Macaca mulatta: one gene and its partners. The protein of the gene in region 1 purifies or fractionates together with the protein of each later gene. This does not show direct contact. Links are inferred from orthologs where the notes say so. Each region holds a gene or a part of one and is shown in the gene's direction. Other genes may lie near its edges. The genes, in order: LSM4, PRMT5 and PATL1.

Region 1 (4,365 bases):
AAAATGAGGCTGGGCACAGTGAGTCACGCCTGTAATCCCAGCTCTTTGAGAGGCTGAGGTGGGTAGATCACCTGAGGTCAGGAGTTCGAGGCCAGCCTGGCCAACATGGTGAAACCCCGTCTCTACTAAAAATACAAAAATTAGCTGGGCATTGTGGCGTGTGCCTGTAATCCTAGCCACTCTGGTGGCTGAGGCAGGAGAATCCCTTAAACCCAGGACGGAGGGATTGCAGTGAGCTGAGATCCCACCACTGCACTGTAGTCTGGGTGATAGAATGAGACTCCATTTCAAAAAAAAAAAAAAAAAAAAATAGGGTCTTTGCAGATGTAATTAAGGATCTTGCGATGACATTATCCTGAATTTATGGTGGGCTTAATAAGAGAAAGGCGTGTCCTTATAAGAAAACGGAGAGGCTGGGCTCGGTGGCTCACGCCTGTAATCCCAGCACTTTGGGAGGCAGAGGAGGGAGGATTGCTTGACCCCAAGAGTTCGAGACCAGCCTGGACAACATAGGGAGACCCTGTCTCTACAAAAAAAGAAAAAAAAAAGGAGAGAGTCGTTTGAGACTCAGAGACACACAGAGAAGGCCAAGTGACGACAGAGGCAGAACGCGGAAGGCTGCATCTACAAGCCAAGAACTCCGAGGTTTCCCAGCAGCCACCAGAACCCAGGAGAGAAGCATAGGACACGCAGATTGTCCTCAGAGCCTCCAGAGGGAGCCAACCCTACTGACAACCTCATTTCATTATTCTGGTCTCCTGAATTATGAGAAAATCACGTTCTGTTGTTTTAAGCCTCCCAGTGTGTGGGCATTTGTTACAGCAGGCCCCAGGGAACTAATAGCATTCGCCTATTTACTTTGTTTACTGTCTGTCTCCCTAAGGGCCACGAATTTTGTGTACTGTTCATTTCTATGAGCAGAAGCAGGCACAGAATAGGTATTAAGTACTTAATATATGCCAGACGCTGTTTTAAGTGCTTTTACACGGTTTCATTCATTTCATCCTCATAGTAAGTAACGTTTTGGAGCAGACACTACTATTTACAGGGAGAAAACTGAGGCCCCGAGGGTCGTGGTCAGGATTCCAACCTACTAAATGATGTTCCCTGGATAATTACAGAATCAGAAAACTAGGAGTCCGAAGGGCGACACCAGGGACGTCCCAATCACCACGAAGCCTGGATTTCTCTCCCTCAACTGCAAAGGCAGTTACTGGCTTTGCCCACAGCGTGGAGCCCAGAAGACCGACGAAGGTTTCACCTGCGCACGCGTTTACCCACAATGCACCCCGCCCCGGCGCGCGTTGCTCCGCCCCCTTTTGTATTACAAGCCGCGGCACTTTACGGCTCTCTTCCTCGTTCCTCTGGCGGGAACACGGCCCGGCCCGCCCCTTTCGCCTAGCGGGCCCCGCCCCACTCCGCGTGGATTGGTTAACCGCCCTTCTAGCCCGGTGCTGACTGGCTCGCGTCTCTGCCACTTTCTTTCAGCCCAGTGGCGCGCGGCGCGGCGTGGCGAAGACCGCCGGGAGCGTGTGCAGCGGCGGCGGCGGAAGTGGCCGGCGAGCCCGGTCCCCGCCGGCACCATGGTGAGGGCAGAGCAACGGCGGGGTCTCACCGGGAGGCGGGAACCGCAGTCGTTAGGAGCCCTGCGGGCGGGCGCTGAGGGCTGGGTTGGCGCGGGGCGAACGTACGGTCCGAGCCTTGAGTCCCGTCCCCCGGCACAAGGCCGGGAAACTGATGCTGGAGACTGCAGGTGGTTCTACCACGTTCGTGTCTGGGATTTAGGGTTGCACGTACTCGTATCCACAGTACAGTGGCCTCGCCTTACTTAGTTTTCCCATTTTGCAGGTTGGGAAACTGAGGTTAAAAAAGTGGGGATCTGCCAAATGCAACAGAGAGTTTTTGGGCAGGGAAGGGGGTCCCTTACGCTTCGGACCCAGTCTGACCTCCCAGATTGAAACCTAGAGTGCTGGGAAGTAGGGGGCCAGTCTGAGTTGTGAAACTTGGTTTTAGGAATTTCAGAGCTTGTAAGATGCTTAAAATGCTAGCAGCAGAGCCTCCTAGGCCTCTTGTTTTCTGGCTGAAAAGTAGGCCTGGTGCTGGGGTGTGGTGTTTCTCCTTGGTTCACAAAGCATGTCATTCCAGAGGAAGGGAGCGTTTTGAGCTAGGGGTGGGCAAAGTACATCCTCCCCGTACACAGAAGGAAAAATTGCAGCCCAGGTCTCTGCAGGGCCACATTGTTTATGATTCTGTAAGTTCTGGATCTGGGCTAGAAAGTGCCTGTGTCTCCCAGTGTGCAGATCAGAAAAGGAATCCAGAGCTGGGAGTTTCCTGGCTCATCAGCATCTGGCCCTTCTTTTTTCAATGAGAGAAACCAAGGCCCTTGTTGGGGATGTGACTTCCAGACTGTGAGACAGTGGGAGATTCAGTAACCAGGAGGGCCCCCCAGGGGTGGCTGCATCAGAACTGTGGATTAGTGAGAGAGCTCTCCCTAAATCCAGCTGGTCAGTGTGTAGCCACCCAACGGGTTCACCTTGCCTGCTTCCTAGACAGAGCCCATTTATCAAGACAGGGCAATTGCAATACAGAAAGAGTATTTCACACAGAGCCAGCTATGCAGGAGACTGGAGTTTTATTACTGCTGAAATCAGTCTCCCCTGAGCATTAGGGGATCCGAGTTTTTAAAGATAATTTGGCGGGTAGGAGCTCAGGAAGTGGGGAGTGCTGATTGGTTGGAGCTTCCTGAGGTTGGAGATGGAGTCATTGGCGGGGGGGGGGGGGGGGGGGGGGCGGGGGCGGGGGTTGAAGTGAGATTTTCTTGCTGTCTTCTGTTCCTGGGTGGGATTGCAGGACTGGTTGAGCCAAATTACTGGTCTGGGTGGTGTCAGCTGATCCACCAAGTACAGGGTCTGCAAAATATCTCAAACACTGATCTTAGATTTTATAATAGTGATGTTATCCCTAGGAGCAATTTGGGGAGGTTCAGACTCTTGCAGCCAGAGGCTGTATGACCCGTAAACAATAATTTCTAATCGTGCAGCTAATTTGTTAGTCCTACAAAGGCAGACTGGTCCCCAGGCAAGAAAAGGGTCTTTTCGGGAAAGGGCTATTACCAATTTTGTTTCAAACTATACACTAAATCCCTTCCCAAGGTTAGTTCGGCCTATGCCCAGGAATAAACAAGAACAGCTTAAAGGTTAGAAGCACGATGGAGTCGGTTAGGTCTGATCTCTTTTCGCTGTCATAATTTCCTCAGTTACAATTTTTGCAAAGGCGGTTTCAAGAGCAAGGATTTAGAGAGCCTGTCCCTCTGCCATGTACTTAGAGGGCAGAGTTGGCATGCAAGACTGGGCAGAGCTGGAAGGATCCACCCGTGTTAAGTTTTGTGGAAGCAGAATCTTTTTTTTTCTTCCAACTATATTCCCAGTGTGTAGAACGGTGCCTGGGCAAAGTGTGAACTCATTCATTCAGCCCCTTCCCACCTTCTGAACATCCAGAGTCCTGGCTATCCAGCCATTTCCTGGAGGAGTGGCCAAGAATGGACAAGGCATCATGGGATACACACTTCCAGTTCCCTGTGATCAGGGCAGGGCCAGAAGGAGTGGCCTGGGTTAGGAGCGGGGATGGGCAGTCCTGGACAGCTTCCTGAATTAGGAGGCACTGGATTAGGTCTTTGTGGATCTAGACCTGAGAACCAGATTCCAGATGCTGCAAGAAAGCCCACTAAACCTCCACCTCTCGGAGAGAGTGATTTTCCTGCCTCAGCCTCCCAAGTAGCTTGGGATCACAGGCATGCGCCACCACGCCTGGATAATTTGTGTATTTTCAGTAGAGATGGGGTTTCACCATGTTGGCTAGGCTAGTCTTGAACCCCTGACCTCAGGTGATCCACCCACCTCGGTGTGTCAAAGTGCTGGTATTACAGGTGTGAGCCACTGCACTCTGTACTTTTTTTTCTTTTTTGGAACTGAGCTCTCACTGTCGTCCAGGCTGGAGTGCAATGGCACAATCACTGCAGCCTCAACCTCACCGGCCCAAGTGATCCTCCCACCTCAGCCTCCCAAGTAGCTGGGACCACATGCGTCACTAAACCTGTCTAATTCTTACATTTTTTGTAGAGACAGAATCTTGCTGTGTTGCCCAAGCTGGTCTCATACTCCTGGGCTCAAGTGATCCTCCCACCTCAGCCTCCCAAAGTGCTGTGATTATAGGCGCAAGCCACTGTGCCAAGCCTCACCTGGCACTTTGATGTATCTTCTTTTAAGATTTTGAGGATCCACCCCTTCCTCTGACCTCTTTCTCCAACAGAGTTTGGAGATGAGGATATAGGAGAAATCAAGATATATGGTCACAGCCCCAGGCCAT
Region 2 (3,289 bases), on another chromosome or scaffold:
ACATGCATTTGTCTCTTTCTTCCATGCCCATGCCAACGTTGGTTGGTTTTGACATGGGAGGTTTGATCCTTCTGATCCTTCAGTTAGTACAGACACACCATTTCCCTCCCTCTGGAACTAATTTGACTCTCCTGCTGTGCAGATGACGGTGTGAGCATCCCCGGAGAATATACTTCCTTCCTGGCTCCCATCTCCTCCTCCAAGCTGTACAATGAAGTCCGGGCCTGTAGGGAGAAGGACCGTGACCCTGAGGTAAAAAAACACTCTCTGGAAAGAAGTGGTACTCTTCAGTCCTCTTCTTTTTCTGTATTTGCATCAGCTATTTTCTTCTGCTGGGGATGAAGAGGCGAAGAAGTTAGGGATTGGGGAAGCACTAAAGTAAAACTTTTTTTAATCCTTGGGGAAGTAGGTATCTCCTGTCTGTCTTCCCCAACACTCTCTCTCTCTCCTTGTCTCTGACAGGCCCAGTTCGAGATGCCTTATGTGGTACGGCTGCACAACTTCCACCAGCTCTCTGCGCCCCAGCCCTGTTTCACCTTCAGCCATCCCAACAGAGGTAGATTCTTTTATGACTGTCCTCTGACTAGAGGGGTGTGGGCTTCTTCCTTCCTCCTGCTTTCTTCCCTTGCTGTCCCTAGTCTGCCTTATCTACTCTTCCCTTCCTGGGTCTTGCTCATGGTTTACCAGGTTGTCTAGAGCTTCTGGCCCCTTGTCATCCACATGATTATTTCCTGACAGATCCTATGATTGACAACAACCGCTATTGCACCTTGGAGTTTCCCGTGGAGGTGAACACAGTACTGCATGGCTTTGCAGGCTACTTTGAGACTGTGCTTTATCAGGACATCACTCTGAGTGAGTGTCTATGGCAGTGGATGGCAGAGTATGAGGGTGTGCTGCCTGGGCAGCTTATATGTACATGTGTCATTTAGATTTATGGGGGGCCCAGTACTCAATGAATGGAGATCTTTGTGTGATTAGAGAAGAGACCCTCTTCAACATAGGCTAAAGGCACAGCCATGGAGACTTCTGTTTTTTCATTATTTTGTCCACACAGGTATCCGTCCAGAGACTCACTCTCCTGGGATGTTCTCATGGTTTCCCATCCTCTTCCCTATTAAGGTAGGAACTGCTTTTAAGACTCTGTAGGTTAAGGAGTAACTTTTGCCTTTGGTGTTGTGCCTCTTTCCTTCTCCCAGGAAGATAGTTGACTATATGACTCATATTCTCCTGATTTCATATGCTCTTGGATCCCAGTGGTAGGTGTTGGGAGTATTTGGAGTGGCCTTCTGCCTGGCTTTCCCGCATCTATTCTGGCTACCCTTCTGTCCTCTACTTTGAGCAAGAGCCATCTTTTAAACACTCAAATTTGATCTTATCTCTCTCTTTCTCTCTTTTTTTTTTAAAGAGACAGTCTCGCTCTGTCACCCAGGCTGGAGTGCAGTGGTGCAATTTCGGCTCACTGCAAGCTCCGCCTCTCCAGTTCATGCCATTCTCCTGCCTCAGGCTCCCTAGTACTTGGGACTACAGGTGCCAGCCACCATGCCTGGCTAATGTTTGTGTTTTTAGTAGAGATGGGGTTTTACCGTGTTAGCCAGGATGGTCTGGATCTCCCGACCTCATGATCCACCCGCCTCAGCCTCCCAAAGTGCTGGGATTACAGGCGTGAGCCACCGCGCCTGGCCTGATCTTACCTCTTTTTTGCTTAAAACCTTTCAATGCCTTCCCGTTGTCTTTAGGATAAAAGTCAAAATCTGGAACATTGCTTGTAAGACTTGATGTGATCTAGTGTTTGCTTGCCTTTGCAGCTCCTGTCCCCTTGCTTACACTGCTTCAGCCTTATGGACCTTCTTTTGGTTCTAATTGTCGATCTTCTTTCCTACCTCAGGCTTTCATGCCTCTCTTTTGCCTGCAGAGCTCTTTGCTTGTCTCTTCACACCGTTAACCTATCTTCTAGGTCTCCTTTAAACATTTCTATTGTGAGATAAACTTTCTCTGACCTCCTAGACTAGGTTAGTGTTCCCTTTCATAGTTGTTTTTCTAGCACTCTGTACATGTTCACAGCACTCACCACACTTTTGATTATTTGTTCAGTGTCTTATTGTTCAGCGTTCTGATAGGCTTCAAATAACTTTCATGAGGGTTGGGACAGTCTTGTCATGTTTATCATTTTATCTCCACACCTACCTTAATACACTGCCATTTATAATTCATTAGCTCTACCCTGAACCTCCCTGTCTTTCTTCTTACAGCAGCCCATAACGGTACGTGAAGGCCAAACCATCTGTGTGCGTTTCTGGCGATGCAGCAATTCCAAGAAGGTGTGGTATGAGTGGGCTGTGACAGCACCAGTCTGTTCTGCTATTCACAACCCCACAGGCCGCTCATATACCATTGGCCTCTAGCCCTGCGTGCAAGTGTCCAGAGCCTTGGAAGCAGCTTCATGTTCTGCTCCTGTAGTACAGAAGGTGCAGTACATCTATGGGCTGTGATTCCCCTTGCCCATCAGAGAGGAGCATTTCAATCTGCTTTCCTGCCTTACATCAAGGTGGGCAAGGGATTATAATTAATTGCAGGGCTCAAGCCACCAATCTGTGAAGACCTCAGGCCAGGGGGTGAGGAATTAGTGCTGGATTCGAAGCTACGCACTCAGCCTCAAGAGCTCCCTGGAATATCCCTGAGAACATGGGGTTTGGACAGATGTTCAGCCCTTCTCTGTTCTTGTTTTGATGGTTTCGTGTAAGAGGAAATACAAATAAAGTTATAGCCCTTTCCTGCACTACCCTGCCGCCCCTGCCGCTGTTTTCCCACACCTCACTTAGACCCAGGCATGTTCAGATCTGTCCTCATACCTTATCCAAGACCTAAAGGGGCCTAGTTGTATTCCCTACTTAGGAAGCTGAGCAATGACTGTTGTACTCCTGGATATAGGCCTTTCTGACCAGTTACAGTGAGCTCTTGTCCATTAGAACCTGTAGTTAGGCTTTTCTCTGGGGAGGAGGCATAGAGTTTGCCACCTTGGGAAAAGATGGAATAGTGAGTGAAGCCAGTTTCTCTTCCTGTATTCTTGAGCTACTGCACTGGCAACTGGTTACCTCTCCTTTGTTACCTCTTGGGAAGGCTGGAATCCATCCAGGAATCTCCAGCAAGAAGCTACCTATTTTTTTGAATAAAACCACAGGTGTACAGTTTGAAGTCCCTAAGAGGTCATCTAGTCCAATTTTCCATTTTACAGAGGGGGAATTTGAAATGGGTGCAATGATGTGATATTAGTATCCAAGTCAGAATT
Region 3 (3,648 bases), on another chromosome or scaffold:
TAATTGTCTAAATCTAAGATCTTCCTCTTTGTAGCTACAGCCTGGACGGATGTCTCCCAGCCAGTTTGCACGGGTGCCTGGATTTGTTGGTAGTCCACTTGCTGCCATGAATCCCAAGTTGCTACAAGGGCGAGTTGGGCAGATGCTTCCCCCAGCACCAGGCTTCCGTGCCTTCTTTAGTGCTCCACCCTCCGCTACACCACCTCCACAGCAGCACCCTCCTGGCCCAGGACCCCACCTGCAAAACCTAAGGTATACAAAATCAATGCCACTATTTATCAATTATCAGCCAAGTCTCTTGATTGTGGATGTGTAGTTTTATAAGTCTCTTGATATTTGCTAACTAATAAATTTTAAGATGTTATTGGATCCTCAGGTTGACAAACATGGAAATGTTTGACAATCTCCAGGCTTTCTTGTGAATCACATTTTTCTCACATTACCAGAAGGTATGGAATAGAGCAACAGATGCTGAAAAGTCAGCTAATCTTCACACTAGCTAAGTTGTTTGCTTTTATCCTCTGGTTTTATAACAAAAGGGGTTCAAGTTCCTGTTTCGGTGAAGTTGTGTTTTATTACATATCGTATTGTGGCAGTCAGGATTTTCAAGAGACACCCGAGAACCAGTAGAGGAAAGAGAGCAAGAATGTTCATGTGAGCAAGTTTTATTTTAAGAAATCGGCTCATGTGATTGTAGAGACTGACAAGTTCGAAATCCGTAAGACAGACCAGCAGGCAAGAAACAGTTTTTAAAAGCTCAAGTTGCAGTCTTGAGTTTGAAATAAGTATAGCAGGTCAGCAGTCAAGACACTCAAGCAGGATTTCTGTGTTCCACTCTTGAGGCAGAATTCCTTCTTCTGGGAAACTTTAGTTTGTTATAAATGTTAATCACATCTTTACAAAATACCCTCACAGCAACATCTAAGCAGTGTTTGACCAAATAACTGGGTACTAAGGCCTAGTCATATTAACTATCACACATATATCTTTAATAATATTCCCACATAGTTGAAACTGAGTATGTTAAACCTACTTAGAGACTTCTGTTAAACAGTTAAAAGCAAAAAGAAAAAGAATTATACTGCTTTACTCCTAATTCACTCAGATTTCATGATCACCCTTTTAGAACTTGGTCTTTGTGGAAGATATGTAAAAATATGACTATCTTTTGCTTCTAAAAGGTCTCCTTAGAATGGACTTTTTTATTTTTTTATTTTTTTGAGACAGAGTCTCACTCTGCCTCCCAGGCTGGAGTGCAGTGACCCACACGATATCGGCTCACTGCAGACTCTGCCACCTAGGCTCAAGCGATTCTACTGCCTCAGCCTTCCAAGTAGCTGGAACTGCAGGCGCCTGCTACCACACCCAGCTAATTTTTGTATTTTTAATAAAGACAGGGTTTCACCATGTTGGCCAGGCTGGTCTCGAGCTCCTGACCTCAAGTGTTCCACCCGCCTTGGCCTCCCAAAGTGCTGGGATTACACACTGCACCCAGCCCGAATAGACTTTTGTAGTCCCTTAAGTTAACCTGTATGAAGTTATCCTGTACTGACAACATTCTTTAAAATTTCAAATCATCAGGATGACCAAACTGAGAACCTCTGTTCCATTTTTCTTAGATCTCAGGCCCCAGTGTTTAGACCGGACACAACTCACCTTCATCCACAGCACCGTCGACTCTTGTATCAGAGACAGCAACAGAATAGAAAGTAAGTACTCATCCAACTCCTTTATGGCTTCTTAATTCAGCTTTTAATTTTGACAGTGTAACAACATGCTATTTAGTTGTTTGTTTTTTTTGTAAGTTTACTTCGTATCCGTAAACCTGAATGTATTATCAACATGTAAATATGAAAAGCATAATATTGAGTAAAGAAGCAAGGAACGGAATTACATGTACCATTTATGTAAAACTAAAAGGCACACAGAATAATACTGTGTAATATTTAAACACAGACACACAAGTAATAAACGTACAAAAACATTTCAGGGAGGATACATACCAAGGCATGATAGTGGTTCCTCTATGAAGGAAGAGAAGCTGGAAACTGGGTCTAGAGGGGTACAACAGGGCCTCTGTCAGTGTAACACTGTGTTATTTTAATATTACTTTAAAATATTTGAAGCAAATTCAACCAAATACATTTTTTTCTATTAGGTCTAGGTGATGGGTAAATGGGTATTTATTATAGTATTTGCTGGGCTTTTTCTCTGAATTTGAAATATTTCGTGATTTTTAATGAGTTTAAAATATTTATGTATACTTCAGAGCTAAATCGCCTGTGTCAAAATCCCTTAGTCCACCACTAGATGTATGGCTTTGGACAAGTTACTTGATCTCTCTTTGGCGTCGGTTTGTTGTCTTAAGTGGGGAAGAGAAAACTACCTACCTCACAGAGTTATTCTAGAGCTTATACAAAAGTCCATAGGTGAATATGCTTAGCATATGGAAAGGTACTCAGATCTTAGTTTTATTTCTTGATTATTTATTACATAGCTCTTTCCTCTTAAATTCTATTAAAACTTAGTTCTTTTTCACTTCCCTTTTAAGAAAAGCAAGGGGAATCTTTAAAAAAAAAAAAAAAAAACTGGCCTCATTTATTCCTCTGTGTTAAAAAGCGTAATTAATTTGCCCACTTGGAGTGAATGTGGTGTATGTTTTTCAGTCAGCATCGGAATCTCAATGGTGCAGGAGATAGAGGAAGTCACCGGAGCAGTCATCAAGATCATCTCCGAAAGGATCCATATGCCAATCTCATGTTGCAGCGGGAAAAGGATTGGGTCTCCAAAATCCAGATGATGCAACTTCAAAGCACTGATCCCTACCTGGATGATTTTTATTACCAGGTAAATACTCTGTGCTAGTTTTGAGGATAATAGTTTGGTCCTCTACACTGGTAAGGGTATTCATTTAAATATTGGTACAATTAAATATTTGTAAAATTTTCTTTTGAGATACTTAGCCTCTTGCACTACTCACTATCAGTACATTTCTAGAACTGAACTTGTGTTACTGTCACTGGCATAAATTATTTGATGGTAAACAACAGTCGTGTTCTGTGCTTATGTTACAACCGAAATCATCCTCTCATGGTAGAATTACTTTGAAAAACTGGAGAAACTGTCAGCTGCTGAAGAAATACAAGGTGATGGCCCTAAGAAGGAACGCACCAAGCTTATCACCCCTCAGGTGGCCAAACTGGAGCACGCCTATAAGCCAGGTAAGGTCCTCATAAGAAAAATGCCCATAATAAAAGAAATTTGAGAAGCCGCTGATTAAATATAGACAAGTGTATATGTGGACGGATATGTAAAGACATTTCAAAGTGATTTTAAAGTACCATTGTCCTTAATAAATGCAAAACTCAGCCTTTATTCGAGCCTGGACTGAACGCGTTGACATGTGCCTTTTCAGGTCCTTTTCTACTTGAGATTTCATGATTTTTTAAATGTATTCTAATTTTCAGTACCCCTAAAATAAGGGGGAAATACTTTAGATTTTTTATTGTGATAATTATTGTAACAAAGAGAGAAAGGATAGATTTTGATAAGGGGTTGCTTTAAATAATACATTGACCTTTTTTTTTTTTTTTTTTTTTTTGAGAAAGAGCCTTACTCTGTTGCCCAGGCTGGAGTGCATTAGTGCCA

What was found.
Region 2: the proteins of LSM4 (region 1) and PRMT5 purify together in Homo sapiens (co-immunoprecipitation; 3 studies listed by BioGRID and IntAct, with this or other methods). This does not show direct contact. The link is inferred for Macaca mulatta from reciprocal best matches to the Homo sapiens genes LSM4 and PRMT5.
Region 3: the proteins of LSM4 (region 1) and PATL1 purify together in Homo sapiens (co-immunoprecipitation; 4 studies listed by BioGRID and IntAct, with this or other methods). This does not show direct contact. The link is inferred for Macaca mulatta from reciprocal best matches to the Homo sapiens genes LSM4 and PATL1.

What each region holds. Positions count from the first base shown.
Region 1 is NC_133424.1:18,849,875-18,854,239, reverse strand, and holds the start of LSM4 (U6 snRNA-associated Sm-like protein LSm4), read left to right. Parts: upstream 1-1,477; 5' UTR 1,478-1,583; coding exon 1,584-1,586; intron 1,587-4,365. UniProt on the Homo sapiens protein: Plays a role in pre-mRNA splicing as component of the U4/U6-U5 tri-snRNP complex that is involved in spliceosome assembly, and as component of the precatalytic spliceosome (spliceosome B complex).
Region 2 is NC_133412.1:96,003,536-96,006,824, reverse strand, and holds the end of PRMT5 (protein arginine N-methyltransferase 5), read left to right. Parts: exon of another isoform or gene 1-142; coding exon 143-252; exon of another isoform or gene 253-332; intron 333-409; exon of another isoform or gene 410-462; coding exon 463-556; intron 557-738; coding exon 739-855; intron 856-1,057; coding exon 1,058-1,122; intron 1,123-2,187; exon of another isoform or gene 2,188-2,252; coding exon 2,253-2,405; 3' UTR 2,406-2,777; downstream 2,778-3,289. UniProt on the Homo sapiens protein: Arginine methyltransferase that can both catalyze the formation of omega-N monomethylarginine (MMA) and symmetrical dimethylarginine (sDMA), with a preference for the formation of MMA.
Region 3 is NC_133419.1:14,182,319-14,185,966, forward strand, and holds part of PATL1 (protein PAT1 homolog 1), read left to right. Parts: intron 1-34; coding exon 35-252; intron 253-1,619; coding exon 1,620-1,709; intron 1,710-2,666; coding exon 2,667-2,847; intron 2,848-3,097; coding exon 3,098-3,221; intron 3,222-3,648. UniProt on the Homo sapiens protein: RNA-binding protein involved in deadenylation-dependent decapping of mRNAs, leading to the degradation of mRNAs. Acts as a scaffold protein that connects deadenylation and decapping machinery.